Linked DNA regions of Coturnix japonica. The protein of the gene in region 1 purifies or fractionates together with the protein of each later gene. This does not show direct contact. Links are inferred from orthologs where the notes say so. Each region holds a gene or a part of one and is shown on either strand. Other genes may lie near its edges.

What was found.
Region 2: the proteins of ATP6AP1 (region 1) and ATP6AP2 purify together in Homo sapiens (affinity purification with mass spectrometry; 5 studies listed by BioGRID and IntAct, counting the BioPlex papers as one, with this or other methods). This does not show direct contact. The link is inferred for Coturnix japonica from reciprocal best matches to the Homo sapiens genes ATP6AP1 and ATP6AP2.

What each region holds. Positions count from the first base shown.
Region 1 is NC_029516.1:19,954,003-19,970,118, reverse strand, and holds the start of ATP6AP1 (V-type proton ATPase subunit S1), read left to right. Parts: upstream 1-1,269; 5' UTR 1,270-1,372; coding exon 1,373-1,479; intron 1,480-6,379; exon of another isoform or gene 6,380-6,394; coding exon of another isoform or gene 6,395-6,501; intron 6,502-6,671; coding exon 6,672-6,798; intron 6,799-6,903; coding exon 6,904-6,972; intron 6,973-12,713; coding exon 12,714-12,907; intron 12,908-14,099; coding exon 14,100-14,134; intron 14,135-16,116. UniProt on the Homo sapiens protein: Accessory subunit of the proton-transporting vacuolar (V)-ATPase protein pump, which is required for luminal acidification of secretory vesicles.
Region 2 is NC_029516.1:101,200,520-101,217,409, reverse strand, and holds ATP6AP2 (renin receptor), read left to right. Parts: upstream 1-8,665; 5' UTR 8,666-8,687; coding exon 8,688-8,796; intron 8,797-10,057; coding exon 10,058-10,188; intron 10,189-10,987; coding exon 10,988-11,116; intron 11,117-11,625; coding exon 11,626-11,721; intron 11,722-12,029; coding exon 12,030-12,167; intron 12,168-12,464; coding exon 12,465-12,518; intron 12,519-13,509; coding exon 13,510-13,659; intron 13,660-14,227; coding exon 14,228-14,344; intron 14,345-14,684; coding exon 14,685-14,879; 3' UTR 14,880-15,704; downstream 15,705-16,890. UniProt on the Homo sapiens protein: Multifunctional protein which functions as a renin, prorenin cellular receptor and is involved in the assembly of the lysosomal proton-transporting V-type ATPase (V-ATPase) and the acidification of the endo-lysosomal system.

The DNA.
Region 1 (16,116 bases):
AACTGAAATCTGATTTGAGATATAATTGAACAAAGTGTCTCATTAGACAACAGTGCTGGAATAATACGCTGTGAATTAAGGCAAATGGACTTGATGAGTCAAGCTATGTGTGCTCTGATTCAGAACTGCATGTCTTCAGCTGGTGTTTACATCCTCCCTTAAAAATTTTCATTGTGCTTCCTTATTTCTCCCTTGTTCTAACTTGTTTTAGCACAGCTAACCATTCCCTTTGTATAACATCCTTACTATTTTGCTGTGCTTGGGATGAGGCACCCATGTGCTCACCATGTGCTGCATGACTCCTGCTGCCTCATGCTGTCAGGTGGTGGCAGAGACAGCTCAGCGCCGGCAGGGATTAAGGAGGACTGCAGAAGAAGCCACTTCCCGGCAGCAGGAGCATCTCTAGGGCAATTTTCTTCTGCAGTGAGCATAATTTGCTCCTCACTTCTGAAATCTGGTACTTTGGGGATAGTATCACTCCATGCAGAAGGTGGATGAACAGTCCCATGTTTTTAGTGGGTACACTCCAAGCATTCCAAGCTTTGTAGCACCTCCATTACAGGGATAGGCTGAGAGAGCTGGGGTTCTTCAGCCTGGAGAAGGCTCTGAGGGAACCTTATAGCAGCCTTCTAGTATTGGAATAGTCCTACAGGAAAGCTGGGAAAGGACTTTTTATAAGGGCACGTAGTGACAGCATGAAGGGAAATGGCTTTAAACTGAAAGAGGGTACATTTAGACTAGATATCAGGAAGAAATTCTTTACTGTGAGGGTGGTGAGACACTGGAACAGGTTGCCCCCTCCCTGGAAGCATTCAAGGCCAGGCTGGATAGGGCTGTGAGCAACCTGGTCTAGAAGGAGGTTGGAACTGGATGACCTTACAGGTCCTTTCCAACCCAAACCATTCTTACGATCCCATTTTCTCACTTTCTCTTCCTTTGCTGGAACCGCAGCTGAGATGTGCTGCAGATTTCAAACCTGTCAACACCCGAATGTGTCACATATGAAGGAGCTGAGGGACACTAACAAACACACAGCAGGGCGAGAAGCGCTGCGGAACACATTTGCTGCAGCACAGAAAACTTTCCTACGAACTCTACTCCGAAGTTCAGCACAGCTGTTATCAAGGAGCTATAGCAAACACGGCGGCGGGGATCTGGCCTTCACGAGGTGAAGCTGTAAGGTGCCAGAGCAGCACAGACACCGAGGCACACAGCGCGGCCCAGCCCGGTCTGGCCGGGGCAGCCCGCCCGCATCAGCCGCCCTCCGCGTGACGGGCGGCCCCGAGCCGGCTCGGAGCAGGAAGTGCCGCGTGCCGGTGCCGCCGCTCGCCCTGCCTCCCCCGGGCCGGCCAGTTCCGCCGGGCGCGGCAGCATGGCTGGGCTGGGGCCCGCCGCGCTGCTGCTGCTGCTGCTGGCCGCGCTGCTGCTGCCCGGCCTGCCCGCGGAGCACGTCCCCGCGCTGCTGTGGTCCACGGGCAGGTAGGAGAGCGAGCGGAGGGAGCGTGCCGCTCTGCGTGCGTGAGGCCGTGGGGAAAGTGCTGCTGCGTGACCGCCTGTGGGAGAGAACCGCTGGCTGCCAACTGACCCAGGGAATCAATTTGCCTCCGGGCACGCTACCTAACGGGAGGGTTTGCCCGTTTATAGTTGTGATGTCGGTGTTCTGAACCGGGCGGTAAGACCCACGTTACTCAGATCCGAAGTGGCCGGGCTTTATTCACTACAAGGCACCCCAGCTGCAGCTCTGCTGGTTTAAAGGCGTAGCGAGGGGCAGCCTGGCGGAGGAGCTGGCCAGGAGCTGCGGGCCGGGCTCACTCCTCCGGCTCCTCCACCCTGCTTTTATCCTGTGTTGTTCTCCTTTCCTTCCTTCTTCTTCTTTCTTTTCCTTATTTTTTTTTTCTTTCTTAACTTTAAATGCAGTTCCTAATTTTAATAGGAAGTACTTCTTTGTGCGTAGTTTTCACTTGTTAGGAATAACTCAGCGTTATCTTATTTGCAAACCCTCCAGTGGAGAGCTCCTGCCCTCTGCACAATGCGTGCTATACCCGGTTCAGCAGCAGGCCTGCTCACAGCTGGGTTCTTACTCATTTCTCTAATATGCACAGTCAGAATTTGGCACACCCCAGCCAGGGGTTCAACCCTATGTACCTTCCTCTTTACCCTTCTGTAAAGCAAGAAGGGAATCTGCCAGTTGGTGATAAGCGCCCTTTCAGCTGCTCGGGCCGTGCTCACTCTGCCTTTCAAGAGGCTTTGAGCTGATGAAGATGTTTAAGCGCAGTGATCTATCTAAGCGCCACCAGGCAGATGGGCTGAACGCTGCTGTCATTTATCACATCCTGCATCTCATGTCTTTGGGCAAGATTACTGAAATTAAGGTCTCAGAGCTAAATCCTTGTGTGTTGTCGTGGTTTTGCTGTTTGTTTGTTTGTTCTTAATGCAGTTGTTTGAAGATAGCGAAAGGAGAGGTCTTATGACCATTAGCAGTTACGCTGTTGAAGTTCTTCAGGGAATTCTCCATGTATAGTGCAATACAAACAAGTATGATACTCTTGTTTTTCCATGCTGAGAGATGCTGATAAATTGCATTTGAAGATGCATTTGAAGATGTAGGAGATGCTTGTTGGGTTTGTTTTTTGTGTATCCTTGACATCGTATTCTTTTCTCAGCAGTAATGCATACCATCTTTGATAAATATCTGCCCATTTCTTGAAAGTTTCCAGGGTGTCGTTAAGCATTTCCTCTGGCCCCAGGCAGCCACAGCATACAAGAAGCTGAAAATGTTCCCATTTCAATGAGTTTCATTAGGTAACTGACCCATAAACAGATATTCCAACATTAAGGTCTTTTGTATTCAAAATACTTAATCTGTTCACCTTCATATAACTCAGTAATGCGAGCTACCTCTATACGTAAAAGCAAAGTAGGTGTTGGAGAGAGTTGTTCTTAGGATAAAAGTGATCTTGAGAGTCTGAGAAAAAAACAGTGCTGCCTTTGGCCTAGTTTATATATATAATACACATGTTGTCAATATAAGCAGTATCCCTGGGAGGTCATAAAACAAGCCTAGATGCAATTAGCAACTCGCTCTACTGCAGATTGTTCAGGTCTGTACAAATATAGAGCAAGAAAATCAGGATGGTGGACTGTTTAAACCAGTTTGGTGTTTCCATCAATAGAAGAATAGAAGTGTTCCTCCTTCTCCTCTGTGTTTTTGAAAGGGGAAGTTTTTGTGAGGGAAAAGATGTTTCTTGTGAAATCCTTTGAAGTTGCAGGAAAGGAGATTTATGTTAATTTATAAAATAAAGGAACAGTGACAGAAACTTTTGTTTGCATCTTGGTGTTTTGTGGCAATGTGAGGTTTACGGTGGGTGTTCTGCAGCCCTCTGCAATGTGGGAGCTGCTGGTGAGAGTTTCTGGAGGGGGTGACTGAAGAAGTGCAGTAATTATTGGTGGGTTTCTATTAACTTTGTGAAAAAATCCCTCCGATTTAAAACTTCAATTTCATCCATTGCCAGACAGGAGTTGAGATGCACCCATCTGTTCCATCACCTGGGTTATCTGTCAGGACACCATACTGAATCCTTAAGGGATAATACAGTGTTTGAAGAGCTGCAGTAGGAGAATACGTCGTCTTCAAATCTCTCATGTTACTGTACTGTGATCGTGCTATTCAAGGTTAATATTAGACAAGAGATGCAGAGGTTTATTATATATATTTTTTTGTACCAAACAGCAATCTTCCCCCATTGCATTCGGAAAGATGAAGGGAATAAGACAGTAGGTCATGGTGTCCTGCTTTTCACAAAGAGATACCAAATTATCAGTGGGCATTTTCCAAAATAACTTTGCCCTGGGAAAATTAGCCTTATCTTAAATCAGACTTTAAGCTGAAGCCGTTAATGTTGCTGCTTCCCAGAGCAGGAGGGATGGGGGAGAGGTTCCTCTTACATGTGATTCAGAACGGAAACATGATTTAGCCATTTTGAAACAGTATTCAAAAGAATTTCTTTCTCTCCACAGATAGAGAGAGCCTGAGGAAATAAACTCATTAAAAGTAGTTTCTGTGATTGCCCTCCGTGTGCCTCTGTTTTTTGCTTGTAGCCACTGAGAATTTATTACTACCTTCGTTTGTGCAGCTCTGTGAATCTTTTTTGCTGGTATATCCAGATTACAAGTGATTTTGAGAAAGTGTAAGTGCCAAATGGGACATCTGCCATGTTTCCTCAAGCTGCAAGGAATTTACTGAAAAATCTTGCTGGGAGGAGGTGTAGCTTAGAAAGGAGATGGTGAAAACAGTGTATTATTTTAGCTGTAAGTTTTCTGGACTTCTGTGCCGATGCTCTGAGCCTATGTGTTTGCTTGAGGAGCCCCTTGAGTTGTTCTTTCTTGTAGTCACCAGTTGTCAATGTACTGGTGCTGCTAGGAGTGGTGACACGAGCTTTTTGTGCGGAATATCATTGCCAATGTTTTATTAATAAACTTACTGGCTTCTTCTGTGCAGGGGAAAACGGTATTTCTTATGTGGTAATCTAATGTGGTAATAGTGACTAAAAGAGACCACGTACAAGAATAACTTGTAGGTGGGAGTTCAGATTGCAGCTGAAGAGTAAGTATGTATTGTTGACAACAGGCCCAAGTGAGGAAGCCCTGCTTGTTTACCATCTGTCCTCTCAGAGGTCCAGATAGAAGAATTGTTGAAATCTTTGCAACCCCTTCTGCCTATGAGGAAGACACATCAATGCTGTAGTAGACTGCATGCTTAGGCTTCTTGCCCAAGCAGTTAAGAGCAAGAAGGAAGCAGAGAACTCTTTTCTTTACCACACTGTCTGGCTACAGAGTGAAGCTGAGCATTGAGCTTCTGCATTTCTAGCCCAAGGAGAGCACAAGCACTAGCAGAGGTCCCCATGGCTGAAACACGGCTGTGCTGCAGGATGCAGGGCCTGCTGGGCCTGCAGATGGCTGTGCTGCTCTGAATGTCACATTTTGCGTGAGCCATCAATAAATAGCAGCAATCAATACATGTGCTGGCCTACTGCCTACCTCATCCTCTGCCATCTCTCACTCAGACACTGCTGGAGGTGAAGAGTTCAAAGGAATAGTTGGGTTCATTGCAGGCAGTAATGCACACCCTCAGCGTATCCACCACATGGGCACATATCTCCATTTCATTCTGCACTTAATGGTAAGCAGCCAGCAAAACACATCTGACATTTCCCATCTGACCTGTGGTGAGAGTTCTGTTGCACCATGGTACCGGCTCATTAGGTGAGGCACACTGTGCAGCACCTGGCAGGCTAGTGAAGGGAAACAAAATACGTGTATCAAATGGGAAATAGGAGGATTAGGCAAACACTGTACTGTGGTAGAATTATTAACCAGCTGAGCGAGATTTATTTTTCTAATGATGCCGCTGGAGCTATTGAAGTTTATGTCTGAAAGCTAAAAGATCTCACAAAAGGTGCTTTTGCAGGTTAGATAGCTTGCAAGGGCTGCTCCAAGGAACAAGGAAGCCTTAGAAGAAAAGAACGGTTCAAAAGAGAATCATTAAATTTCGGAGGGTTTTAAGACAAAAGCCTTGTTATTTTTTTTTTTTTTACTTAATTGCAAATCCAGAGGGTTCTCAAAATCTTCAAGTTTTTTTTAATGCTAGACAGGTAAAAGATGTTATCAGTTACCTGATTTGCAAAAATAAACATAACAAGGTATTCACTATCGCTTCCCTTCATACAAACAGTTCTTTAACATTTCCCAATTGAATCTATCTTCTTTTCCTTCAGTATTACTAGTATTTTCGTGTAGCCCTGCACTCCTTAATGTCCCTCTAAAATGTTACTCAGCTGCTGAATTTAGGATCTTTGAGAGTTTTTTCTTCAAATTCTTTATTCTTAAAGTTTGTATGAAAATCTGTGACATCCTGAGGTCAGCCTTCTCGAAAAGTTATCACGTCTATTGCAATTTCTAAGCTCATGGTCTTCAGAAATACAAATTAATGTGGATTGCTGAGCACAAATGAACACAGAAATGAAGGAGCTGAGGAAAACTAAGGAAACGCTGAATGATAATTTCTGCCTAATAGGAAGAAATTTCGTTCTTGCACAGCAGTGTTTACATCTAGAGCTGAAAAACAGATAGGCAAGAGGCATGGTAGGATCCAGTTTGAACATCTGCAGCACCTGGTCTTGGAAAAGTCCACCAGAAATAGCATGGGTTCTAGTACTTGCCCAAATCTGAAGGGAGTTGGATATCCACTGCTGTACAATTACATCTTTCTTATCTCTGCTGTGGATGCAGTTGGAGGCTTTGGATTCCCTTTCTGTAGTAGCTGATGCTATATTCTGTTCTTTGCAAATAGCTCCTTTCAGAGGGACCAAAGTACCAGATTTTCAGGCCATAGCAAATGATATGTGCTTGTGGAAGAGGAGAGCTAAAGCTTCCCGGTCTGAGTTTTGTATCCTGTCTGGACAAATTTTATTCCTGCTGTAATCCAGTTCACAGGATAAGGATGTAAGTGGGCAAATTCTTTTCCTCTTAAGTGGGATAAAAGTAAACTGAACAGTAAACACGATCTTCATCCAAAGGTGATGATATCACAAACTGGTTCTGAGCGTTTGAAGAAAGGAGCTGTGTCATCCCTGGCAGCAAATTCAATGTTTAAAAAAATATTTTCTTCGCAGGCCCCAGTGGAATCCAGACCCTGCTTTGCATGAAGGACACATTGTCTCAGCGCAGGAGCTGGCTGTACTTCTGCAACCTGTTTTTACTCCAAATCCCAGCAACCTTGTTTTGTTCTTTCAAGAGAGGGTATGTAACATTAATTCCATTTCCTTTAGCAGTGCCAAGTTTAAGTCTGTATCTGCATGAGATAATATGGCTCCTTCTCACCAATCTGCTCTCTTTGTTTTTCAGCTTAGCGTAGACGATTTCACGTACTACAGTGAATCCTATGGTAACAAGAATCCATTTCAAAATGTTCAGGCAAGCACTTCTCTCTTTTTACTTCCTTATATGCGTGTTTTTAAATTAAAAATTATGTAAGAAGGGTGCAAACAGACAGTAACTGGCAATATTAAACTAAGCTGCTGCAGTTTGCCTATTTATTTATTTATTTACTGGGATTATTTCAGTTTGAGCATATGGGCTTTTGTGTCTGTTTTATTTCAAAAAGTAGGTTTTCAGAATTATCTTAACTGAAAATAATCTTTCTAGGCATGTTGCAGTTTTGAATAATAAAAAAAAACTTTGTCTAGACATAGACGTAATTCCCAGACTGGCACCCCAAAATAGTGTTTTGAAGCCACACAAAGAAGAGAAGTAAGGAATCAAGTATGTACTCCAGATTTTCAAAACTGAATACTTATTTTATCTTCATGCAAAGTGCAGCTGACTTATCCAGACAGTTAATTTATTCCTAGAATCGTAGAATATACTGAGCTGGAGGGGACCCATAAGGATAGTCAAGTCCAGCTCCTGGCTCCTCACAGAACCGCACATAAACATGTGTGAGGACATTGTCCAAGTGCTTGTTGAACTCTAGAAAGCTCAGTGCCACGACCAGTTCTCTGGGGAGATGCCCTCTTGGTGAAGAACTTTTTGCTGATAGCCAGCTTGAATTTTCCCTTGTTGCAGCTCCATGTCATTCCCTGTTTGAAGAGTGTGACTATATGCCTAGATACTGGATTACTTTAGTATCTGTACTACTTCAGTAATCCAAAATATATTCCAGACACAGACTCTGAGCTGGTCATGAGCTTAAACTTCTGTTCCTGGTGAAAAGGTTTATAGATTTTTTGCTTAGTATCTGTGGTTGAACTTCCTTGACAGTTTATTGAATTGTTATTGGAAAAAGGAAGTGTTCATACCTGAAAGTCATTAAGGTGTTCCTGTGGGCAGTGCAGGAGGAACAGAGCTGATATCAGAGCACATGAAGTGTTAATTCTTAGTCACCACGTAGCAAGCTGTATGTATAGTCAAATATATAAATATTCACATATTACTTGTCTCTACATTTATACTGTCTAGGAACCTCACATCTTCATTGTATCCCTAATACAAACCTTCATCTCTTTGCCATATGACAGCATTTTAACAATTATGCTGGAACTAAAACAACTATTCAGTGTAGGTACGTGGCTTTTTTGAGGCGAGAAAGGGAGTAATATTTATCTGCAGCATAAGGATTAGCGACTCCATCCTCAGGCAGATGTATTGGTACTTTTCTGGAATGCTGTACTTTCTCTCTGGGTTCCAAATCTATGCACAATGGTGTCTGAACTAAATTTTGTTTGCGTTTACGTAACTGTAAAGCTGGTTTGATTTTATTAAGAAGCTGTGTGTACATGACTGCTGCAAGTCCCTAATGATGTATTGGTCTGCATCATGTTTAAGTGAGTCTTTGGTCAGTATCTGGCAGAAGAAAGTTTTGAATTCACATTCTCAGCAAGCTGAACTCATGTCAGTAACAGTTCACTTGCTTTCAGACCTTGACTCTGTTTCTTTTCTGTCTTGGAGTGGATAAACTTTTTCCAATTGCAGCTTCTTTGAAACTGGGAAGTTTCTTTCAACAAATTGGTAACCTTAACTCTAGCATTTCTTAGATTTGTTCTGGATTGGGCAATCTTAACACCTATCTAGCATAGTTTTCTGAGGATGAATTGCTCATAGAAAAAAGAAAATAGGAAGTGAAAGAAAATAAATGAAGTACTTGTTTTTCATTTACATGCCCATATGGATAATTTTGACTCTGTCTATCTGTGTGCATCATCATATAGCATTTTAGGTGTAGAAGGGATCTTCATAATCATAGAATGGTTTGGGTTGGAAGAAACCTTAAAGATCATCTGGTCATCCAGTTCCATCCTGCGTGCAACAAAGACTACAAAATATGCTCAGTAGCTATTGCATTGATTGTGCTCCAATTGAGTTACTTTGGGAAAGAAATCCCTTCTTAATCATGCCACAAAAGACTCTACAGTAATACTCACAGAGCACTAGACAAAGAAAAGGTCAGATCTGGATTTTCTCACTAGGTAAATTAGAATCTTTCATGTTGCATAATCTGAAAGTTTTATACTTTCACAATCTAAGCTATGGAAGGGATTCTTTAAACTATTATAGATGTTCTGTACCACTCCAGCATATTCCTTTTAAACTTCAGCAATTCAAATTTATTCACAAACTTAATCTGGAGATCTCCTTTAGTGAGTGTATGTGCATGTAGCAGCACGTGTACTACAAAAAGAATGTAATATTTGTAAGAGTTATAGACATGTAAACCACATTTGCAGATATTAGATTTGTTCAGCTACATTAACGGCTGGAATCAGTGGTTTTGTATGCAATGAAAGAATTCCATTTCCACTTAATATAGAAAGGAGTCTTGTAGATAGATCATCTATCTTAAATATTCAATAACTTTTTAATTGAATAATAAAATACAAAGATTAGCATTTCGGGATTTGGTGTGTGTGTTAAGTAGCCACCTATTCTACAAACTGTTTTTCTTTAATATTAGCATTGGCTTTCCCCAGGCAATAACCGAACTCCTTAGAACTGCAGCGTACAGTAGCAAACTCCCATTAGTTGCTAGCTGGGTGGCTGCATGATTATTATTGTAAGTCATTGCCTACTGTGGTTCTGGATCTCCATCATATTCATCATTCAGTAGTCATTTCTCCAGACTGTGGAATACTACTCAGTCACATTCAGCACAGAGGCCCTACTGTAGATTTGTCTTTGTTGCCTCTTTCAGTTTTATGGGTTTGTTCATTTTTGGTGGTTTTTTTTTGTTATAGACAGGGGAACTTGCAGAACCGCACGTGCAACAAGATACAAGTGCATCATAATTCATTCAGTCTCGTGGTGATTTGTTCTGTATCATTCCCTAGTATTTTCCATAAAAACCTGCTAGTATTTTGTTTTGATCACTATCAGATCTGACACTAGGTTTCCTATGTGGAAGATGGCACTCAGTTCTCAGTTCTCACACCTACCTTCAGAAAAAACCTGAACAGTGGGATATGTAAACAAGTCATGGTGCTTCTTGCAGTATTTCACTCATGAGCGGTCCTTCAGGAGATGTTACAGAAGGCAAATTAATCTGAGCAATTTGTAGATCCATTAAAAATTCTCAGTGTAGGAATTTGTGCTATCAGTCATCAGGTCAGTCGGAGGATTTTTTTCCCCTGTTCCCTTGCCAGCTACTATGCGGTTATACCTTTTTGTTTAGACGTTTTGCAGAATGCAGTGCCAGGTGTTTCTCAGTCGTCCTCTTCACTCTCTGTCCTCTTCTGGAGGTTTGGTATTTTGAATGCTCGTGGTACCTGAAATGCCAGAATGCTTAGAGCAACATACTGGCATTTTAAGAACAAGTGTACAGTGGTCAAATGTCAAGATGCATGTGATCAAAATGTCTGTCTGATGCTAATGAGGAGATATCCAGCTGTGTGTGCTCTTCGAATGGAAAATGGTTGAATACAAATGGCTGGAAGCTGAGACAGATGGCACTGCAGGATTGGTTAGAAGCAGAGGCACAGCTCAGACATTACTCAGTAATTATGCATTTTATCTCTTATTCTATAATAAATGAGTAAACTGCTTAATATATATCCTTGGTAGAATTGGCTGTTGCCATTCTGGCTGCTGCTAAGCAGTGGGGGATTAAAATATTAAAAGAAATAATTGACTGTTGGAATGTTGCTCAGGATTTTAGCTATAAATTCATATATGCAAAACAAACTAGAAGTGAATATATCATCCTTTCCTTCTAGGAGGTGCTAAGCACCCTGCTCAAAGACTTGTAAATGAGATCGGTGTTTTCTGATCTATTTTAGTTTCTGTGGTTATTTTTCTATCAGTATGGCAAATCAGTCAATACTACATAGTCCTCCTGTATGAGCATCTATGGAAATGTGGAAATAACTAACCTTTACTTAGGAAGGAAAACGTGCAAGCATTTAGAAAGGAACTGAGGAGGCCAGAAAAGTGGTAGGCAGTCAGAGAACAGACAAAAAGAAAAAAGAGTAGGAGGGGAAAAGTGTTAGCAACACCACAACACATATCACTAAGTGGGAGAAAAAGAGTCTCTAACAACTCGGATATTTGAATGTTGGATGAAGTGACAGACTTGATCTAAGAGTTAAATATAAAAAATGTGAAAGCAAAGTTAACAAGTTGTAAACTGGAACTCAGGAAAAAAATGTTCAAATCTTCGTATGAAATTTTGTGCACATCAGTTTTGATCCTTCTCAACTCTCTGTCATTTATGTTCTTACCCGGAATTTTTCAAGTGTATTTTATCGTTCAGAAAAATCTTTGGGAAGGTGTTTTTCAGCTGTGCAGGCTTCAAATTTATAGAACAAGAATGTTTAGAATTCATTTTACTCAAGAGTTCTCATCAGAAACTCATCAATGAGAATTATAATAGATACCCTGGTGCTTCATTATTTGAGCCGTCTCAGCCTGAGCCTTGTAATCTGTGTTTTGAATAGATAGACAGAAAGAAAGCACTCAATATGAAGTTTGTGTGTGCCTCCATACCAAAAAGAGAATCGTTCAGTTCAATTGGGAGGGACCTTCAAAAGTCCAACTGCCCGACTTCTTCAGGGCCAGTCAGGAGTTAAAGTGAGGGTATTGTCCAGATTTTTAACACTCACAGGGAAGGGGATCATCTGCCACTATAGGAAGTCTGTTCCAGTTTCTAACATGAAATTTTTCATACTGAATCTCAGAATGGTGCATTGAATTTCTCCTGGTGCATCTTTGTTCTGTTCCCATGCATTCTATCATTAGATCCCAGGAGCAGAGCGTGGCAACACCCTCTCCAGTTTCCTTCCTCAGGGAGCTGCAGAGAGCAATGAGGTTGCCTCTTGGCCTCATCCAGTCTAGACAGCTCAGGTGTCCTCAGCCTCTCTTGTCACTGGACATGCCTTCCAGAGGTCATACATAAACAAGTTCCTTGTTTAGCTAAGTCAGTGTTCTGCTCTGCTCTCTTGACTTACGATACAATGGGTTTACATGCTAGTGGGCTTTTAAGAGGTGGTTCTTGAAAAGTAGCCAGCTGTCCTGGACCATAAACCCTCTCAAGCAGAACCCCAGGGCACAATGTGAACTGGCTCCTTGAATGCTTAAGGTTTGCTCTCTTAGAGCTCATGGTGACAACTGTTGTGTAGATCCTAAAATATGCAGATTTGTTTAATTAATAGTTACGAATTAGACATCATCTGTATTGCACGCTAAACCACAACACAAAGGAAGGTAATTTGTTAAGTGAAGTATCACTCCCTACTAACTAGAGCTGAAGTTTCCAACATTGATGGTTTTCACCTACGAAGCCATTTATTTCCTGTCTCATGGCCCTCTGATGCCTCATCTTTTTGCCTCATATTCTCCAGTACACTCTCCACCTTCTTCCTCACCTTGAGAACTTCCGCACCATCTGCCTCTCCTTTTCCATTATACTCATGGAAAAGGCAGTGAGATTTTGAGGTCACAGTGTGTCTTAAGCTTGCTCCAAAACAGTGCAGGAGTATGAGTGATGGAGATGTCAGTTCACTGCACCTTTCCAGGAGCAGCCTGCAGCCAGCATCAGGCTGGTGAGAGCTTACTAAGTGTTTACCACGCTGTTTTCTCACCTTTAATATTAAATGAAGGATAGAGAAAATAAATGATTTGTGTTTAATATTAACTAATTAAATAAACTGTCTATACATTTGTTACAGGAAATTCTTCAGTCTTCGCCTTCATCTTTAGTTTTGCCTGCTGTTGACTGCAGGGCTACCAGGGATCTTTTGAGCTTTCTTCAGGCATCAGGAGATTGGGATTTGAAAACCTTGACAAATCTTGATATCTCTCAGCTGGAAGTGAATGCATCTAAACCATTCTTACTTGTAACTGAGCTACAACCACCTACCAGGTAGGACCTTGTCACAAACACATTGACCCAAATGTATGCAAGATTTTTACAGCTTTTTGAAAATATCAGCTATGTTCGGGAAATTTAAGAATCCAAAGAGTAGTTTACAGAGTTAACAAAGTTACTTTTCCAGCAAGTGTGAATTCAGTGTTTTTTAATGTCCTCTGATGAGCTTACCAGGTATAATAACTGAATTACATTGAGAAAGTCAGTCATGCATTACTATTTTGTCTGCTTCATTATATGAGAACAAAGGGACAACTAATAAACTAAATGGCAGCACTCTTTAAGCAGAAAAGCTGAGTTATTTTATGCAACATGTGATTAACCTGCTGAATTAATTGCTAGAAGACATTCCAGGGGTCAAAGAACTGGCAGGAAAGATAAACAAATAAACATCCTAGAATTTAGTATGAATAAGAAGACTGGTTTTCATCAGTCTTAAAGAAATAGGAAGGCTATAAAGCTTCTTGTTTCCTGACCTGTAACTGCTGCCTAATGGAGGCAAAGTCTTCCTTTCAGGTGAATGCTAGTGTCTGGCTGTTACCTGTAGGGCTTTTACACCACTGTGGATTGTCTGGTATAGAGTACTCTTGGCCACTGGCTGTGGGTCATGGAGCTGATCTAGATTGTCTGCTATTTGTATCATGTCATACTGAAAGCTGTGAAGTCGTACTGAGGACAGCATTGTTGGTGTAGGAAGTATAAGGCATGGGTACAGTGAGCCCAGAGTCTCTGCTCAGCTTATCCTGCACTTTCCTTCTCCTAAACTGTTTCTTGGGCATTTATACATGTCGTTGTATGGTGCATATATGGCTGGGCCCTAAGAGTACGCAATTAAAAATTGCACAAATAAAGATGTGAGGCCCATTCAGAAGAGCTCATGTACAAATTTCAGACTAATTAACACCACAAAGTGCAAGGAAATCTGAGGAGAGAATGGTCAAAAGATCAATGATTTGGCTTCTCTGCAGCTAAGGACATTTGAGGGTTTGGAGGAAGCAGCTAAAGATGTGGTCCTTGTATGAAGTGCTGTGCAGAAGAAGTTCATAAGGAGGAGATGAGAAAAAGATGAAAAAACTTTGTAGTCTGCTGAAAGTAATGTGCTGATTAGTATATACCTGTATACATTTCTGATTCACATTGTTGTCTAGAAAAAAAATTTAATTATTTTTCTCCCACTTCTTTGTAGTGAGATTTCCACCCTGGAAGCAATTGCTGAAAATGGTAAGCAATATAGCCAGGACATAACAACATTTCACCACTTAAGCCTGTTTTTGCTTGAATAGATTGTATTTCCTGTTTTTTCCAGATTTTGTTATAACACTATTTAAAGCTTTTTCTGCCATCTACATGCCTATAAGCAGCCAATTATCAACCTGTTAAACTACTGAGTAACTAATTCAAAATCCACTGAATTGGATACATCTCTGTGTCTTGAAATGTGGTGATTATTCACCATTGCCATAGGCATTCCAAATCCCTGCCGTGGACAAGGCACCTCCCACCAAGTCAGGCTGCCCAGGGTCCCATCCAACGTAGCACTGAACACCTCCAGGGATGGTGCATGCACAGCTTCTCTGGACCACTTATTTCTGTGCATCAGCAGCCTCTGAGTAAAGAATGTCTTAATTATATCCTAAATATACCCTCTTTCAGTTTAAAACCATTACTTTTCAGTTCGTCCTTCTTGTCTCCAAAAGCTTTGACTTAATGTTGGCCTTGGCTAAACATTACCATCTTTTTTTATGGGACATTTCTTTCATCAGCTGCACAAGCACAAGAACAGGCCTCCCAGACCCTGTTTCAGGCTGTTTTTGTTTTGGAACAGCAAAGTTAATGGGAGACCTTTGGAGTGACACAGGAACAGGCTATACCAGCTTTGTGATTAGTGTCAACTACCTGCTCTCAGGAAAAAGGTGTGTGGATTGCAGAAGATGTGCTGCTTCGTATGGCCAAGTGCAAAATCTTTGCACTGTGTTCAGAGCTGCAGTTATGCTCTAGAAAAGTGATAATGTAGGCTAAATACTCACGTTCTGGCACATCTGAACACACTGCAGAGTAGAACCTGCAGATGTCATCAGCGGGAAATTTTAATTCACATGCAAGCTGCTGAGCTGCAGTTTTTTAAAGTTATCCTACTGAAATCTATGCAGTGGAAAGGACAGACTTGGGAGGGTCATAGCAAAGCTGCCAGAGAAAGATCCCAGTTCCCGTGGTCGGGCAAGTGTGGGTGTCCAAGCACTTGCTGCCGGATGACCATAGCCATTTGCAGAATACTGTTGTCAGGACATCTGTCAAGGTCAAAGGGGCTTGCAAGGCCATGAATTATTGGTGTTTGTTATGGAGTGAGTGCTGCTAGCACTATCTGGATAAGCAAACAAAGATACCAAGGTGTGTATCACATCTTTAATGTGACAAGAGAATTGTTAACCAGTACAGTACTGCTTGTAATTTTTGCACAGTATTAACTGTAAACCCATAGTAAACGAGGGCAGATCTGTATTATCCTGCCTAGAAGTTCGCAAAGACTCTTGTTTGTCACATCAACTTAATTCCTTTCTGCTGTAGAGGGTTTTAAAATCTGCTGCTATCAGACATCAGAGAAATCTCTCCTGCTGTTTTACTCACTGCAGACAGCAGTCTCTGTCAGACAGAGCAAATGGGCTCAGATTCTGCCCAGAGGAAATGTGTGGTTCTGAGCACTCCAGGAGCTGGACTAAGGAGGAGTTTTAGCACGTTATTAAAATGAGACTCATTACAAAATCCAAACTGGAATTCAGAATTCAAACCCTCTTAAAGTTTTGCAGATTCAGAATTGTTTCCAGTCTCTCCTTTCATACATGCACAGATAGGCAGATATTGGGTAATTTCTATAAAACAAGTGGTAGAAATGCTATTTCTTTCTCTCTCTCTCTTTTTTTTTTTAAATTGTAACAAGGTTTTTAGAGAATGAATCCTCCTTTCTCAGCCTTAACCCAACCAGAACATACATTTCTTCTTGCTTTTTGCTGTGCTGTGTGTGTGTTGCTTTGCAGTATTTCTTTCTTTCATTTGCCTGGAATAGTGTTTGAGATTATTACACAGGTTTTGCCAGTTCTCCTGAACGTTTCTCTGCTCAGAAGGTTGCACTATGCCTTATCAGTCCTACCTGTTGTGTGCCGCATACCTCAGAATTAATGTTAAAGCTGCCTATGACTCTGTGTAAG
Region 2 (16,890 bases), about 81 Mb from region 1:
TAAACACCAATGTATTGCAAGTGCTAATGGCAGAAAACTCCTGCGGTTGGTTTACAGGCAAACTATTGCTAATTCACAAAAGGTACCCAGTGTTTAACTCTGATTGCCTTACCAGTTGATCCACACAGCTCCATACAGAACAAACACATGTATTATCTGTGCATAATTAAGAATCAGCAAGGCTGAGGTATGCAGATCCTCTTTATCTCAGTAACTCCCCTTTCACATCACAATGACCTGAATATCAGCTGCATATACCAGCTGACGTGCAGTCTCCAGGTCGGCCGCCTCTCAGAGCACTGGTATTAGAGCATAATCAAGAAGACATCAGACTTTAACTCATCTTCTCCAAAGCATGGAAACACACGAGCTCATTTATATAATAAAATCTTCTCCTTTTTAATACGGTCTCTTTGTTAGGCATGTTGAGTCTAGTATACCCATGTCCTCTTTAACTTTACTGGCTTATTTGTTTTGCGCAAAGTAGCACAGCACAGATGTTCTTTCTGGACTGCAACTTTTAACTGGCACTGAAATGAACCTTGGCTTTGTTTTATAAAGCTGTGGAAAACCTCAACCTGTGATTACTTTTTTAGCTTTAAAAATGACTTTTATTTTTCACATGCCTTTAGTGCTCTTTAATTGTGCTAGGAATTTAGCTGCATAATTGCCCTGTGTTGATTTGGAAACTACTCTTTCTGCCATAAGATCAAGTGTGCACTTGCAGTGTGGAAAGTTCCAGTTTGTGATTCAAAAGCTGCCATTCAATTAGATATGGACATTTCGACTTCAGTCTGGCAAAAACATTGCAGTGATTTCCCAACATCACAGATGCTTTATCTGCACACAAACCCTCCAGATGCTCGTGCTGTCACATCCATACTTTTGAAGGCTGTCCAGCAGTGCTCCAAGATCCTAAAAGCATTTACAAAATCAAGCTCAACCGCACTCATCAGCAGAGAAATCGCACTGAAATATGATGAGTGAGGACACTGCATGAAAGCAATGACCACAATGGGCTGGCATCAGCAGGAGCTGAGAACCTCTGGATGGTTAGCTCAGGGTGGAAAGGGACCTCCATTGGTCCCAACTGTTTTGTTCTTCAGTCCAACAACCACCATTTGATTTTAAAGAAAGACAAGAGTAGGTTCAGAGCATTTAGGACCTGACTCAAAGCCCTCTGCAATCATAAAGAAAATACCACTGCTTTAGATGGCGCTGGCTGTGATGTAAATGTCTTTGACAAAACAACACATAAAAAGACATAACAAATCTCAATATATTGTCGAATTTCAATTGGAAAACTGTGTTTTCTAATCTTCTATTTTTTTCATACCATTTTATACCAGTTTTAATTTTGCTTGTAGCCCTTTCTGTTTGTTTCAAATTTTGCTGCTTAGGTCCATAACCAAGACCTTACAGAACAGAGCATTTACTATGCTCAGCTGTGAGAAATAAGCATCCCGTACACTACCACAGCCTTGCCCAAATCTCACTCTATGTTTCTTTGTACACCCTGAGAAAGACCACAGCCTCACTCTCATAAGTAAAGGGGAAAAACTGTTTGCTTATCACAATGAGCGAGACTCAAGAATAAAAATGTTGCCTGCACTTACACATGAAAAACAGGCAGTCTCTACTGGGCTTTCTCTGCAAGGAAAGACCAAACCAAATGGATTTTCCCCTGCAGCAACAGAAATTACTGCCAAACTGTCCCCACTGAGACTGCCCATCCGTTTATGTCATCTTCCAGTAGAGAAATGGAGTAGCGCATTGCCCTACTCAGTGCCGCTAGACTGAGATAGATTTTCTTGTTCCGCTCATCATTTTCTAAGGTCTGTTTCTGTCAGTGGAAAGGGCTTGGGAGCATTCTCCAGGCTGTCAGTAAAGGAGGGTGGGGTTTCTGTGAAAAAGAAGTGATGAGCAATCAGAATCAGCCAAATCACTTAAGAGCAGCATTTGGAGGAGTTTAGGGAATTATGAGAGGTTCGTTTCTGAATTTCTTTCAATGCAGTATGTTGAGAGAGAAATAGTATCTGGTGGAAATACCAATTCAGCAAAACATTAAGTGGGTACTTAACGTAAAGTTAAATATAACATTAAAATTAATTGAAGACAAATACAATTCACAAAACTCCCAGGAGTCTTTTCCCTTATTTCTTTGCATGGATTTATTGCTTACCTGACACAAGAAACCACCACACTGAACTAGCCCTACTTTTTCCCTTCCAGGAATGGGACAGAATCTATTTCTTCCCCCCAGAATAAATGCTTTAGGAAAATATATATATATATATCTTCCCCCAGCCTCCTGCTTATGTACAAGATGTAGAAAGGATTACATACAAGGGGTTATACCATGGATTTAACAGATACTCATAATTACATAAGTGTTTTCCCAAATCAGAATTTGGAAGAGAAACTGGAACAAGCAGTAAAGCGCTAATTATAGCCTACTGAAGTCATTGGAGTTGGCCTGGCACTACCATGGCTGAATTTGATCTGACATGAGCACATGTTGAGTGATTTAAAAGCATGTGAGTACGAAGCATCAAAAGGAGAAAATTAGTATACTTTGATATATTCTCATCTCAGAACACTGTGCTCAGGTTCTGAAGTAATAAGTTTGATATAATCTCTCAGATTCATCTATGCCACCCTGTACTCTTTAGAGGCACAGGGGAAAAAAAAACAAAAACATTCCAAAGCAAGAATAATAAATTTTGGATTTGAAAAAATTTAGATCCCAGAAGAGTAGCTTTGCATGCAGATATAAAGTAGAACTGAGATGAATGCTAACCTCATCAACCTCAAGTGAGCCCAAAGGTGGAAAATCTTTGCTTTGCTGAGTGACAGACACCCTTCTAGCTCAGTAGCACTCACTTAAAAGTAAAGCAAAAACAAATCCACAAGATGAAATTATGACACGGGTCACAGCCAGCCAACAGCCCTCTGCTGCCCAAAACTAAACTTGGTGGAACTTGAACCTTATCACAGAATCATAGAATTGTTTGAGTTGGAAGGGACCTTAAAGGCCATCTAGTCCAACCCCCCTGCAATGAACAGGGACACCTACAGCTACATCAGGTTGCTTAGAGCCCCTTCAGCCTGACACTGAATGTCTCCATGGATGGGACATCCACTGCCTCTCTGGACAACCTGTGCCAGTGTCTCACCACCCTTATCATAAGAAACTTCTTCCTTACATCCAGTCTAAGTCTCCCCTCCTTAAGCCTGAAACCATTTCCCCATATTCTATCACAACAGGCCCTGCTAAAGAGTCTGTCCCCTTCTTTCTCATAGCCCTGCTTTGAACACCAGACTGTAACTGCATAAAGCTTAATGCACATATACTGCACACTGTAAAAACCAGCTACCATAGTGGAGCACTACAGACTCCGAAATGGCCCACTCTTTTCTAAGTGCTGTAGTGTTCACAGCCTTGTTTATGGAATGCATTATACAAAGGCTTTTGGCAGAGTTTAAAAAAAGAAAAAAGAAAAAAGAAAAAAAAGCATGATTTAACTAACATACGGACTTCAGCATGATATAGGCAAGATTTGTTCCATTCTTCTGATGTAGTTCCTTTATTTGCCCTATTTACAAAGTTGGGAGAATAACACTCATTCTTCCCTTCTACTTCAGTAGGCTGCTACGTACCATACATGCAGTACACTGAATATGCAAAGCAGTATTCAACTGTGATATCTGGTATCATATTTATATATTATATATAATATATATCATATTCAGTAATTGGAAAATTATGTTCCTTTAAATTCCAACTAGCTTTATTGGAAAATTATTTGCTTTGGAAAAATTGTCTGGCACTTTCAAAAACTGTATTGTGTGATAACTTTGTTTTAGTCCCACCTTTTATTGGTTTGTTAAGCCATTTCATATAGCGTTCATGATGCAAACCATCTTATTTAATGCTTTGATGCTGCCTAACATGTTATTGCGCTGGTCCGCAGAATAAAGCGCTTTTAATACCTCTCTTTCAAAAAACATTTCACTATTACATAAGTTTCCAAAAAATGCTGTCTCAGGACAAGTAATTTATAGATTAACTAATACTGCAACGGCTTCTAAACATCTCCACATTGTTCCAGAGCATTGGCCCAAGACATCACAGCACGAATTTTACAAGCTGTCACGTTTGGGACAAGTGCTGTGATTTATCCACACTACAATGTCTCTCTTCAACAGCCAAGCAGAGTACAGTACAACACAGTGTCACCACAGCATCAGCACACTGGAATGCTGAGTTTATTTGCACAAGAATGTTCTAGGCAGAAGTTTTCCAATGAAAGAGACAGCGTAGTTCTGGGGGTAACCCTTACTGGAACAAAGCTCCTTGTTCATTGTCAAGAGAAAGTGACATTTCTGATTCTGACAGGACTCTTGACTGTAAAAACACGGGCTGAAGCAATTGGCAGAGGCAAGATGAGCTGCTTTGGGGAAATACTGCAATGCTTTCTTACAGCGGCAACTAACTGGACACCAGCGGGACCACCCTGAGATATCAGCAACATTTTTCCGACCAGAGCTGCCAATGAATGTAGCCCTGTATTTCTTACTGGAGGTCAGAGAAAGAATGGGAATAAGTTAAACACCCAGAATTCCTGCACGGTGGCATAGGAGCATATCAGAGGTACTGCACTTGATGTACTTGTAGCTCCCAAACCACCCCTCGGAGCACCCTTACTAATATACTTACTTCAACTAGAAATTTCCTCTTCCTTGAGTAGTCCTTCAATTCCAGCAGGTAATTACAAAACCTCTTTGGCACCAGAACTGTTGTGCTGCAGTGCAAATCCATGTATTCCTTTTGGGCAGACGTTTATGGCATCATAGTCCCAACTCAGGTTTAACAGTGCCGCTGATGCTTCTATATTGTTCCTAGTGAATGTAGCAGCCCTTTGGGCTTCTTTTAGATTCTGAATGGTTTATAGGGAGGTAAATACTTTTACGTTCTCCAAAAGCAGACAGTACAGAGAAAAAAAACAAACCAACACTGAATTCTGCAAATGCACTCTAGACATGGTTACATGATTAATAGACATAAAAGTAGTACATAGGGCCTGTATAGTAGGGTCTTCAGAAGGTATCTGTCCATCAGAAGAACATTTGTTTTCATAGGCTTTACTATGCTTATTTTTTTCTAAGAAATAAGCAAAATTCAGTCTATCAATCTAACATTATTTTTTACACATCTCCAAAATAGTTGTTTGTTTGGTTTTTTTAATCAATTTTCTCCACTATTCCAGATTATTCAGATTATTAACCAGATTGTGAGAACTGTTCCACCAGTTCTAGTAACAGAATTGTTCACCTCAAGGCTGTTTCTTTCTGTGTGATCTCTAGCTTGTGTTAGGACATGATAAGGAAGACATTTCAGAGGCTTATCTTTATATCTCATTTAAAGCCACTTCATTCAAACCAGTTGAGATTATCCATCTCATCCCAAATCCACAATGGCTAGGAGTGCTTCTTCACAGAGCTGGTCAAGCACAGCCCTCCTATTTTTAAGACTTCTTCCTTGTCTACATCTGAGAGCCTCTTTAACCTGTTTGTTTCTTTCATCTTCTCATAAGCTTTTTCTGTTCCCAGAGGTAGGAAATCTCCCTTGACTTGGGCTCCAGAGCAATGGAGACAGAGCAAATAAGGGCAGGGAATGCAGAATTCTTCTGACAATAGCAGCGGCTGGATTGAAATGAGTGTATAATCATGGCCTCTGAGCTTAGATGTAAGGCAGAGACACAGTGCAGCTTGAGCTCACTGAATGCTATCAGCTCACTGATATGGGAGGACTTCTGTTGCCCCGTACCCACCTATGCATCCTTGCCTCTTCCCCTGCCCTAGCTCTGATGCTTATCTCACTTCTCAACAAGTCAGTTCAGCTTTCTGAAGTTCAAGAAAACAAGCTCTGCAAAAATGAATAGTTTCCTGCAGAGCTAAGAGATGGGTTAAAGTAACAACACAGTGACTGCCATCCATGTCAGTGATGCTTTTAGCCACTGTTTACCAGAAAGGCTTGGGAGTGGGGCAGAACTGGGCCCTACAGAAGGGACACCAAACAAAGTGCCCTTGAGAAGCTGTGTTTCGTCTTAACTTTTGGTTTGAGTACAAATCCATACAGAGTGCAGCTGTATTTTCGACCACAAGATGGTGCCAAAAGTGTTCACTATGAAGCGATGCTTACTGAAATCATCCACCAAAGGCTGCTGGCAAATCTGCTTTGCTTAAAAATCCTTTCTGCTAAAATTAAGAAAATATGAATGAAAATTTAATGACCAAATCAAGTATAGTTCACATGCATCATGAACACATCTTAATTTTTCTCCACAGTCTCAGGAAAATCCTGTTGTTTTATCACTTGTGGGCTGAGAAGGCTGCATAGGCCGAAGTACAGGGTTGAGAGGCAAGGCCCTCCTCCATGTCAGCTGCCTCACTGATACCTTATTCTAGCCCTTAACACTGTTCAGGCTGCAAAGGCCACACGATGGGGACTGCCCTCTATGGCATGCTGACCTCCAGTGAGCCCTTAGGCCCTGGCAAAGCAAGAAACAAAGTAGGGGAGAGAACTGACATGAAAACATGGAAGAGTATAGCTGTCATTATATGAAGCATGTAGGATCTAGCAAGAAGAACACTAAAGTAGGCTTCTTGTGCATACTTTGTGACTCAGTCCCACATGTGAGAAAGCTGGCAATCACTTTTAAAGCAAGAAAGCCAGCTATCAACTGACAGAGAGAAAGGCACTTTCACAAACAGGTCTGGAAAACACCTCCACTTTTCAGAGATGGCAGCATTTGCACTTTTCATATTATTTCAGTCTTCAAGAAATCAGCTCTGATGCCGCCTAAGCCTCAGCTCATTAACAAATGGTGTTTTGTTTTGTTTTTCCCCTTAGCCCTTTTGAAATTGAGATGCCTCTGATTAATTCAGTCTTAGTGACCACTGTGGCAGGAACACAGCTTCTTCTCACATAGATAGAATCTGCAAACAAGGACAGGAGAGCTGAAACCACAAAGCAAATCAGTGGCAGAGGCTAACAACTCTTCACTTGAGACTCATTGCTTGCAAGCAGTGTAAATGGACAGCCAAGATAGGCGCATGTGCTTCTAATCAATCACCTCACCTCCTGGCCTCTCAGCATGTCAGCAGTCCCAAAACTGCCTGTCAGGCTCTTGGACTTGCTCCATTCCCACAACACACAGGCTAAGGGATGTCCAACCATACTGTGTTAAGCACATGCTCTGTTAGCATGCCAAGATGAGAAAGTGCCACAGAAGACAATGTTTTATGTTCTCAATTTTGTTTTAAAAGCTTATTCTTTGTGTTTGTATATAAATTTTTTGAGATGGTATAATGCCTGGTACCACAGGGAATGATTCTCGACTTGGTAGCTCTAAATCATAGAATGGCCTGGGTTGAAAAGGACCACAATGCTCATCTAGTTTCAACCCCCCTGCTATGTGCAAGGTTGCCAACAACCAGACCAGGCTGCCCAGAGCCACATCCAGCCTGGCCTTGAATGCCTTCATGGAATGGTTACCCAGTGCCAGGAATTCATTCTCTCCAGCAGAATAGGACTGGCCGTGATAGAATGAACCCAAATGATGAGGCAACAATCCAGTCCAGCCAAATGGCTGGCTCTTTGACTTAGCCCTTTTCTCATACTCCCTCTTCTACCATCTCCAATGCTGTTAGTATAGACAGAGCTGGAGGCAAAGGCAGCATCTAAACATCACATGAGCAATTGCCGCTGCAGACGTTTCTGCACAGCACAGTGCTAACACAGGCAGTCAATTCTGGTGCTTTGCCTACAGCTGGCACTTTGATTTTGTGACTGCTACTACCAGTATATGGCTTAATAAATATAATCTCCGACCTCATGTGCACGTTGTCTCATCTCATTACATTATTTTTCTCCACTTTGCCCTGAGCAGAAGCTCAAAAAGAAATCAGTTTAACAGGATAATGTCACTGCGTGTGGATCTGGTCACAACTACTGCTCACAGGGCTACAACACCCGCTCTTTGCCAAGCACAGCTGGGATCTAAATGAAGCCTGGAGCAAACAGTGAGAGCTCTGGCAGCCTGTAAAGCAGTGGTATGAGGTGCACACACCAGCAGGCACCACAGAGCGTTATCTCACAGTATCACAGAATAGATCAGGTCGGAAGGATCGTGAATCTCCAACCTACCCCACCACATGCAGGGCCACCAACCTCTTTGCTATTTAATACCACACCAGGCTGCCCAGGGCCCCATCCAACCGGGCCTTGGACACATAAGTTCATTAAAACACCCTTATTCGCCCTGCCTTCTGCTTCTACCCCTCACACTTGTAACCAAAGCTCTCTACTTCTCTGTCCCAACCCACTCCAGCCCAGACGCTTCCCGACTGGTTAGTTCAGCTGTCAATCAAAGCCTCTTCCCACCCACCCCGCTCAGAGCCCGCCCACCCGGTCCGCTCCCCCTCCTAACGCAGTGGGCGGGGAAAGGCTCCGATTGGCCAGCTCAGCTGTCAGTTCATCCCAGTGAGGCTCGGACTCCTTATATGGGCGAGTGAGGGAAATGGCGCAGAGCTGTGCCGCGATCTGATTGGCCGAGCGGAAAAGCCATTCAACCCGAGGCTCCTCCCCCACCGCGGCAGCGCCCAGCTGACCGCTGGGTCCCATGACACGGCTGGGAGGGGCGGCGCTGCAGCGGTGTGGTGGTGCGTTGGGCGCTATGGCTCCCCGCGGCCTGGCTGTGGCTGCGCTGCTGGCTGCGGCCTGTCTCACCGGTGAGCACATGGCGACGGGGCGGGAGGGAGCCGGGCTGAGGCGGTGGGGACGGGGTGGGGGTTGCGGTGAATCTCGGGCCTGAGCTGTGAGGAGTCTGTGGCACTGATGCAGTGGCACAGGCTGCACAGGGAGGTGGTGGGGTCGCCATCCCTGGGGGTGTTACAGAGCCGTGTGGATGTGGCACTGAGGGACGTGGGCATGGTGGGATGGGCTGATGGATGGGGTCTTTTCCAGCCTTTTTCCTTCTGCCCTCCTTTTATCCATGCGCAGTACTTTGGTCTTGTGGTGTTTGTTGTAATATGGCTCAGGTTTACTGTCAACACTATGCAGAGTCACAGCCGGGCTTTAAGGCAACGTCCTCAAGGTCAGATTGGTTATCATTTTCCTTAACATTCATTTAACCTCAGTGTACCACCTTATTTTTTTGCTTGTTGATAGACAGATTTGCACCAGGTATGTTTTCAAATGAATTCATGGAAATGGTTTTAAGTTAAAAGAGGGAAGACTTAGGTTGGATGTTAGGGGGAAGTTCTTCACTAGGAGAGTGGTGAGGCCCTGGAACAGGCTGCCCAGGGAGGTTGTGGATGCCCCGTCCTTGGAGGTGTTCAAGACCAGGTTGGACGGGGCCCTGGGCAACCTGATCCAGTAAATGTGTATGTTTGGTGGCCCTGCCAGGCAGGGGGGTTGGAACTACATGATCTTTGAGGTCCCTTCCAACCCAGGTCATTCTGTGATCTGTTAAAATAAATGTCTTGTGGCCTTCTGTGTCTGAGAGGGCAACTGGAGCTGTTCTGCAGGAGCTGGATTGCTACTAGTAGCGCTCTGCTTCAGCCAGCACAGGTGGACTTAGCTGGTCCTATCTGCTCTGGGTTCAGTGGCTCAGGCTGTTCTTGTGCCAAGCAGTTCAGGAAGAGATCAGCTGTGCTGCTGTGTAGCTGCGTGTTTTGAGCCTTCCTGACTTTGCTGGGGGCTGGCTTCACTGGGTCTGCATCGTAACACTTAAACCACTGCTGAGTGTATATATATGTACTGTGCTGTTGCTTTAATCCAAATGTGGATTTGTCCATACTTAGTCTTAGCTATATACAAACCTTATCCTGTGCTCCAGAGCACAAAACCAAATGTTACTCATTACTTAACTTTGCCTAGATGGATAGCTATGAGAAGGACAAGAATGAATGAAAATTCCAGCTTGCTTTGCTTCTGCAGGGGTGAGGGAAAGACTGTATGAAACTGACAGCCCTTTTTCCTTGCTTTTAGGTGTGTGCGGGGATGAGTTCAGTATCTTACGGTCACCTCAGTCAGTTGTTTTTCGAGATGGAGGTTGGCCCATCCCCGGCGATCGGATTCCAGATGTAGCTGCATTATTCATGGGCTTCTCTATTGAAGAGGTATGTTTGAGGTCTTGGCTGTAAAAGGACTCTAGAACTACAGAGCTGCTTGGTTAGCATGCTTCCTGTCATGTGTTGGAATATATAAGATATTGTCCTGTTTATTGTGAGGCATGTGTGACTTAGCAGAGTGTGGTTTCCAAGCACAGAGTTGTATTGGTCATATGAGCAGAAAAAAGGGCTGTGCTTGCTGGCTAGTTTGAGTCATCAGCTACAGAAGGAAGCCAGCCTGCAGAGGCTTTAGCTTTGTTCTTCAGTTGCTCTGAGACCCATCTGCATGCAGTTCCCACCCCTGTGCACTCAGCAGACAAACAGTTTCACTTAGGATGCTTAGGAAATAATCCAAAGACTTGAAAACCTAATTTGTTTGCCAGATTAGACTTTGGAGTATAGCTTTAATGACATTTGATTTGTGGCAGGTGAGTAGGTACCCATGGCTTTATTCCACATTGCCCAGTGAATCTTCTCCTGGGCTTCAGAAGAGGTGAGTGGCTACTGAAGTAGCACATGAAAGTTTTTAATGGCAAGGTGTCTTTATCAATGTCTGTGCAACCAGATACTCAAAGCAGCAAGTTGGGATATTCTTGCAGTGCTAGCTGCTTCCTGTTTCTTCCATACTGCAGCTATGTCATGTCTACATGACAGTAGTTAATTTTGCTATAATGCTCAGGAAGCTTGCCTGCCCTTTGCAGTAGTTAATTTTGCTATAATGGTCAGAATGGGTTCCTTTGACTTCCTCTGAAATACAAACGGTGGTTGTGGTGGTTGTTGTGGTTTATTTTTCACTGTTCTCTAATAGGACCTTCCCTGGCCTGGGCTTGCAGCTGGTGATCTGTTTCACAGACCCCGAGCTGCTGTGTTAGTGACTGTGAAAGGGGTGGACAAGCTGACGTTGCCTGCAAAAGGAATCTCTTACCCTATTGAGAATGTGAGTATGCACATGACATGCAGTCATGCAACTTCTGTAACTAGTAAATTCTGAGTACAAGACTTTCTACTGTAGTGCTTGATGTTATCATCATTTTACCTTTTGCTTGAACCCTTCCCCTTGAATGTTGGGTCAGGCTGTAGCCATGAATAACCCAGTCTGACTCTGACCTAGGCTTTCCTTTTTGGGTTCAATAAAACTGGTTGAAGATTGTCAGAACCAGACCATGTAACATAACTAATGTGCAGAACCCTTAAATATAAAGAAACCTTCAGTCGTGCTCACACTTGTAACTTCATGAAAGTTCTGAAGTGTACTGGATCCATATTTTCTGTATGCTTCTAGTCTTTAATTGTTTCAGAAATTACTGCTGTGGCTTCAAATGAGCTGCCCCAAAGTTGCTCTGGCCAACTACTAGATCTCCAGTATTCATAAATAATTTCAAGTGATCATTGCTGAGTAACTATTTTCTGTTTTACCCCAAAATCTAACCAGGCTTTGTGTTTCAGGCTGTTCCCTTCAGTCTGGACAGCGTTGCCAATGCTATTCATAGTTTGTTCTCTGAGGAAACTCCTGTAGTCTTGCAGCTGGCCCCCAGCGAGGAAGTGAGTACTACTTCGGTTCTGACAGCAAGTGCTCTGGGTAGTAAACACTTGTATGACTGGAACAAAACCAGTTACTATGTGAAAATATTTTGCTTTGGGCATTTTGCAAGTATGGTTGATGATTACTGTGTGGTTTGAGAAGGTAAAGAGCTAAGGAGGACTGTAAAATAAAGAGCTAGTGGAGGGCTGTTAGTTTAGGTAGTATACTTAGGTTGTGGTTGGACTCAGTGATCTTTAAGGGCTTTTCCAACCTGAGAACTTCTGTGATTCTAACTTCTGTTCTTATTGTACAATGGCTGTTCCTGCAGAGGGTGTACATGGTGGGCAAGGCAAACTCTGTATTTGAAGATCTTTCTGTCACGCTGCGCCAACTGCGGAACCGCTTGTTCCAGGACAACTCCATTCTCAGCTCCCTTCCTCTCAACTCTCTCAGCAGGAACAATGAGGTAAAAAAGCCATATTGAGTACTTCCAGAGTCTGTTTTCATTTTCCTAATATGCTTTTCCATTTTATTTTTTTCCCTTTGCTGAGGAGAGCGTCCCTTTTTTTTCCAAATTGACTTCTAAGAACTAAGGTTTAAGTTCTTGTGCGAGTAGCTTTATTAAAAGAATAATTTCCATCTAGCAAGTTTTGATGCTGCAACAGTTACAGTCTGCTCTAAAATATGTAGAGTTAAAGCATAATGAGGCTTCTCAAACTCTGGTGCCATCAAAGCAATTACCCATCTTTGTCTTTGTCCCCAGGTTGACTTACTTTTTCTCTCAGAACTGCAAGTTCTACGTGATATCGTAACCCTGGTAAGGCCTGGTTTTTTTAATAAACACTTTAATTCTACCTGAGGTCTCAGACTTCCCAGACATTATTTAAAGGTAGCAAATCTATGGCCAGGGTACTTGGCAACTATTGATACACACTCAAGCCTGCTGTTATGGCCCTGCAACGGTTTAAATAATGCATTCTTGAGGTGTTTGTTACTGATGGAAGAAAATGAGAACTTCAGTCATCTGTAGTTTCTTTTGTGTTCTCTTTATGGAGAGCAGAGGGCATATAGAATAGAATATATTCATAAAATTACCCAGGTTGAAAAAGACCTTGAAGATCATCAAGTCTAACCGCAGCCTAACCATAGTACCCTAACTCTAACAACCCTCTGCTGAATCATATCCCTGAGCACCACATCCAAACGGCTCTTAAACACATCCAGGGATAGTGACTCAACCACCTCCGTGGGGAGCCTATTCCAGTACTTGACTACCCGTTCTGTAAAGAAATGTTTCCTAACATCCAACCTAAACTTGCCCTGGCGCAACATGAGGCCATTTCCCCTCATCCTATCACTTGTCACTAGTGAGAAGAGACTTGCCCCACTCTCACTGTAAGCACCTTTCAGGTACTGGAAGAGGGTGATAAGGTCTCCCCTCAGCCTCCTTTTCCCCAGACTAAACAGCTCCAGCTTCCTTAGCCTCTCCTCAAAGGGTTGATTCTCTAAGCCCTTCACAAGTCTCATTGCCCTTCTCTGGATGAAGGGGGAAAGACTGCTCATTTTTCTTAAGAAATTATGAGGTAAACTAATTTGTTTTGGTCCTGCAGATCAGAACTACCATAGTTGAAGTCGATGGGAAGATAGGAACAGATTGCATTGCTTGTTTTTGGAGGCTGTTCCCATCTGCAGTCAAATGTTATGGCTGCAGCTGTGGTCGCTCCCAGCAAACTGATGTTGTGGCAATGTGTTTCTAAAGTAACCTATTTGTGAACTAAATTCTTTCTGCCCTCAATGGTGTTCCAAAGCTGTCCCGACACAAGCACTTGGCCAAAGATCACTCTCCAGACCTGTATTCCCTGGAACTGTCTGGTTTGGATGAAATTGGAAAACATTATGGAGAAGACTCTCAGCAATTCAAAGATGCTTCTCAGATTCTCGTAGACACTTTGCAAAAGGTATATTTCCTATCTAACCAACACTGTGTTTGCTGTTTTGGATAAAGGAGTAGGAAGCTATTAAAACTTGTATAAACACGAGCCTGTTTTCCCTAAACAAACATCTTTCACTTAAAGTCAGTATGTTTCTCTGAGGCTGGCTTAGTGAAAAGTCCTTTTTCTCCCAGGATGCAGGGTTTAGTTTCACCTTGCCTCAAAGCTGTATAAATCTAAACATTCAGGGCTCTAAGAGAGTAACTCTTTAGCTGGTCTTACATAGCGACTAGCTAAAATTCTTTGTTAAGACCTGAGGCCGGTATGTTTTGAGTGTCAGAAGTGTGTTGTAGAAGTGTAAAAGCATGAATTTACCAAGTCAAATAACTGTTTAATCTAGGAGATGTTGTAAGCCAGTTGAAACTTTGTTGGTCAAACTATAAGACAGTGGTGTATCAGGTTGTTTTGTTTTGTTTTTTAACAACTTCCCCCAGTCTTGGTAATCCTGAAAGTGACATGTTATGTTTTATTTTGCTAACAAAGCCCTCCTCAGTTCCAGTTGAAGTTTTAAATTAAACTTCTTTTGCTCTTCCAGTTTGCAGATGAGATGTATAACTTGTATGGTGGGAACGCAGTGGTAGAAATGGTGGCTGTAAAGGCATTTAATTCTCCCCTCACAAGAAAAGCTCGCTCCATTCTCCAGTCTTCAGAGGTAGTATCTGTACATGGTTCTCTGTCTAGCCTATTGAAAGTGTGAATGTATCCAAACTGCATCGCTTCCTTACTTGAGTAAAGCTTTGTACTTAAGGAATAGAATACTGACTGATGTTGGCGAGTCTTCATTGACTTTCATGAGGCTCCTGTCAGCTCAGTCCTTTGGATTCCATTAATGTCAGTCACAGAATCACTTCAGCATTTTGTGCCCTGGCATCAGAATCACTAGACAGAAATGCATCTCTTTTATTTAGACTGTTTGGATTTTTGATGTAATCAGCACGTGTTTTGTATACAAGGCAGACTTTAAAGTAATGCACTTCTTTTCTTTGTTACAGGGTGAAACAGATAATCCATATAACCTTGCCTATCCTTATAACTACAACTACTCTGTAATCTTCAACATTATTCTGTGGATGATGATAGGCTTTGCTTTAGCTGTGATAGTAATCTCCTACAACCTCTGGAACATGGATCCTGGCTATGACAGCATTATTTATAGGATGACGAATCAGAAGATAAGAATGGATTGAATTAAACTGTATTCCAGCACAAGGAAATGATGAGTAAGATCTCCCTTAAGTTGAGTGAAAACAAATATGTGGTTAATTGTGGAATTTTAAAAGGTGTATTTATTCTAAGTATCTTTTTTTTTCCCCCCCTCTTAAGCCTATTTTAATAGCAAGTAGCACTAGATTGGATTTAGAAATAGACAGCTACTTGTTTAAAAGAAGTTATAATCCCCCAAGCTGTTATTAAAGTACCATCATTCCATTTCTTTTTTTATCATGTTAGGAAACTAAAACTGAAAAAAATCTTAAACGATGATAGCAGTGTTGTTTGAATCTTTTTCACAAGGAAATGATGAGTTGTAGCTAAATATTGTGTTGTATATTATGAACCAGTTGTAAATGTTTGATGTAAATATTTATAACGTCACTTCGGAGAGGATAGTTGTTATTCTTTAGTAATATATTAAATGCAGAAGTATTTCTATGAGGTTAGGAAACCTGTGGCAGAAATGGCTTTTGGATCACACGATGATGGCTTAAATCTGAACCACAGCCAGAATGGCTGGGTTTACCTTGAGTTTTAATGATTTGCAGATAGTGCGGCTGGCCTATACAGTGGAGAGTCTAGAAATATTGAAGTAGCACCAGTCTGGTCGTGGTGTAGCATTGCATACAGCTCAAAGTTCCTGTTAGGATGCTTCGTATTCCTTCCATTTGTGTTGATATTATTGAAAAATAAAAAGTAGACTTTTTGATGATAAGACTGGACCAACACCTGATTTAAATCTACCTGGATTGTAGTCCTGCTTTTGTCGTTCAATAAAACAATAGTTCCTGGGGTGTTCACTGTTTATTGATTCATAGGTACAGCTGCTTCTCTTCAGTGCTGCTGCTTAGCTGAGTAGAGCAGGTGCAGTCAGCAGGCTGTGTCTGACACTGGGCCCGTTTAAGATAGAGTAAGCTTCTTTGAATTTTCCCATTACTGATGGATGGTTCTTATGTCCTCTTATATTAGTTCTTATGTTCCTTAAGGAGATGCTCAAGCTCCATTTCTGAGATCTCTGCATGGACTTCCTGGTCAGTTACAGCATCTTTGCCACAACGTACAGTTGTGCTGGGATGACCTTGTGTACCAAAAGAAATGAGGAGCTCATGTCTGCCACAAGAATAAGTGTATCTCTGAGGTAAAAAGGTATTATATTGTGATTCTGGTAGGCCAAGTACTGTTGTAACACACATTTTGATAGATTAAACAATCTCTGCAGCTACTGTCTGATACCAGGACAAGCAATAGTTTTGCAATCTGCAGCCCTGTTAGTACCTTATTTTAAGCAAGGTGAGTTGTTGGTCGCCTGAAAATCAGCTGTGGTAAAGCCTTTTGGATGGGAATTTGGGTATCTGTCCTCATAGTGTGCCAGCATTCATGAAAAAAGGGAGAAGTCTGAGGTGGTTGAAGCCTGAGTGTTGCTTTTGAGAGTTAAAAAAGAGAAAGTGAGACATAAAATAAAGGGATCTTTAAGGAATCAGCATGCTGTATTTTTTGGATGATCCTCCAGCCTTCTTTGTGGCAACATGGCAACCTTTAGAGTCCTTCCAGCCCCTGTCCTGCTGTTGTGACACACAGGCAGAGGAAGCCCAAACTGGATCTGAAATACGCAAATGTTGCATTAGTAAAATAAAAAAGTACAAGTCAGGAAACCACATTGAAATGCAAATGTTGAGCAACACTTCTGCTGCCTGCTGGGCTTTACGGGACAGTTTGAGTGGAGGCGACAAGGACGCTGCTGGTGTGTAGGGAGAGGAGCTGCTGTCTTGGAAAACATCTCGAACCAAAATAACGGTGCACAGTAACAACAGTCATTTTGTATCCTATTGCTGATGGTATTTTATGGCTGCCCTGAAGTGGATGGTTGGAGCTGAACCTCATGGTTGATCTCTTGGAAAAAATGGAAACGTTTCTTGATAGAGCAAGTGGTGGTGATGGACACTTAAGATTTTTGTGCAGGAAGGGATGGGGGAGCAGCACGCGAAT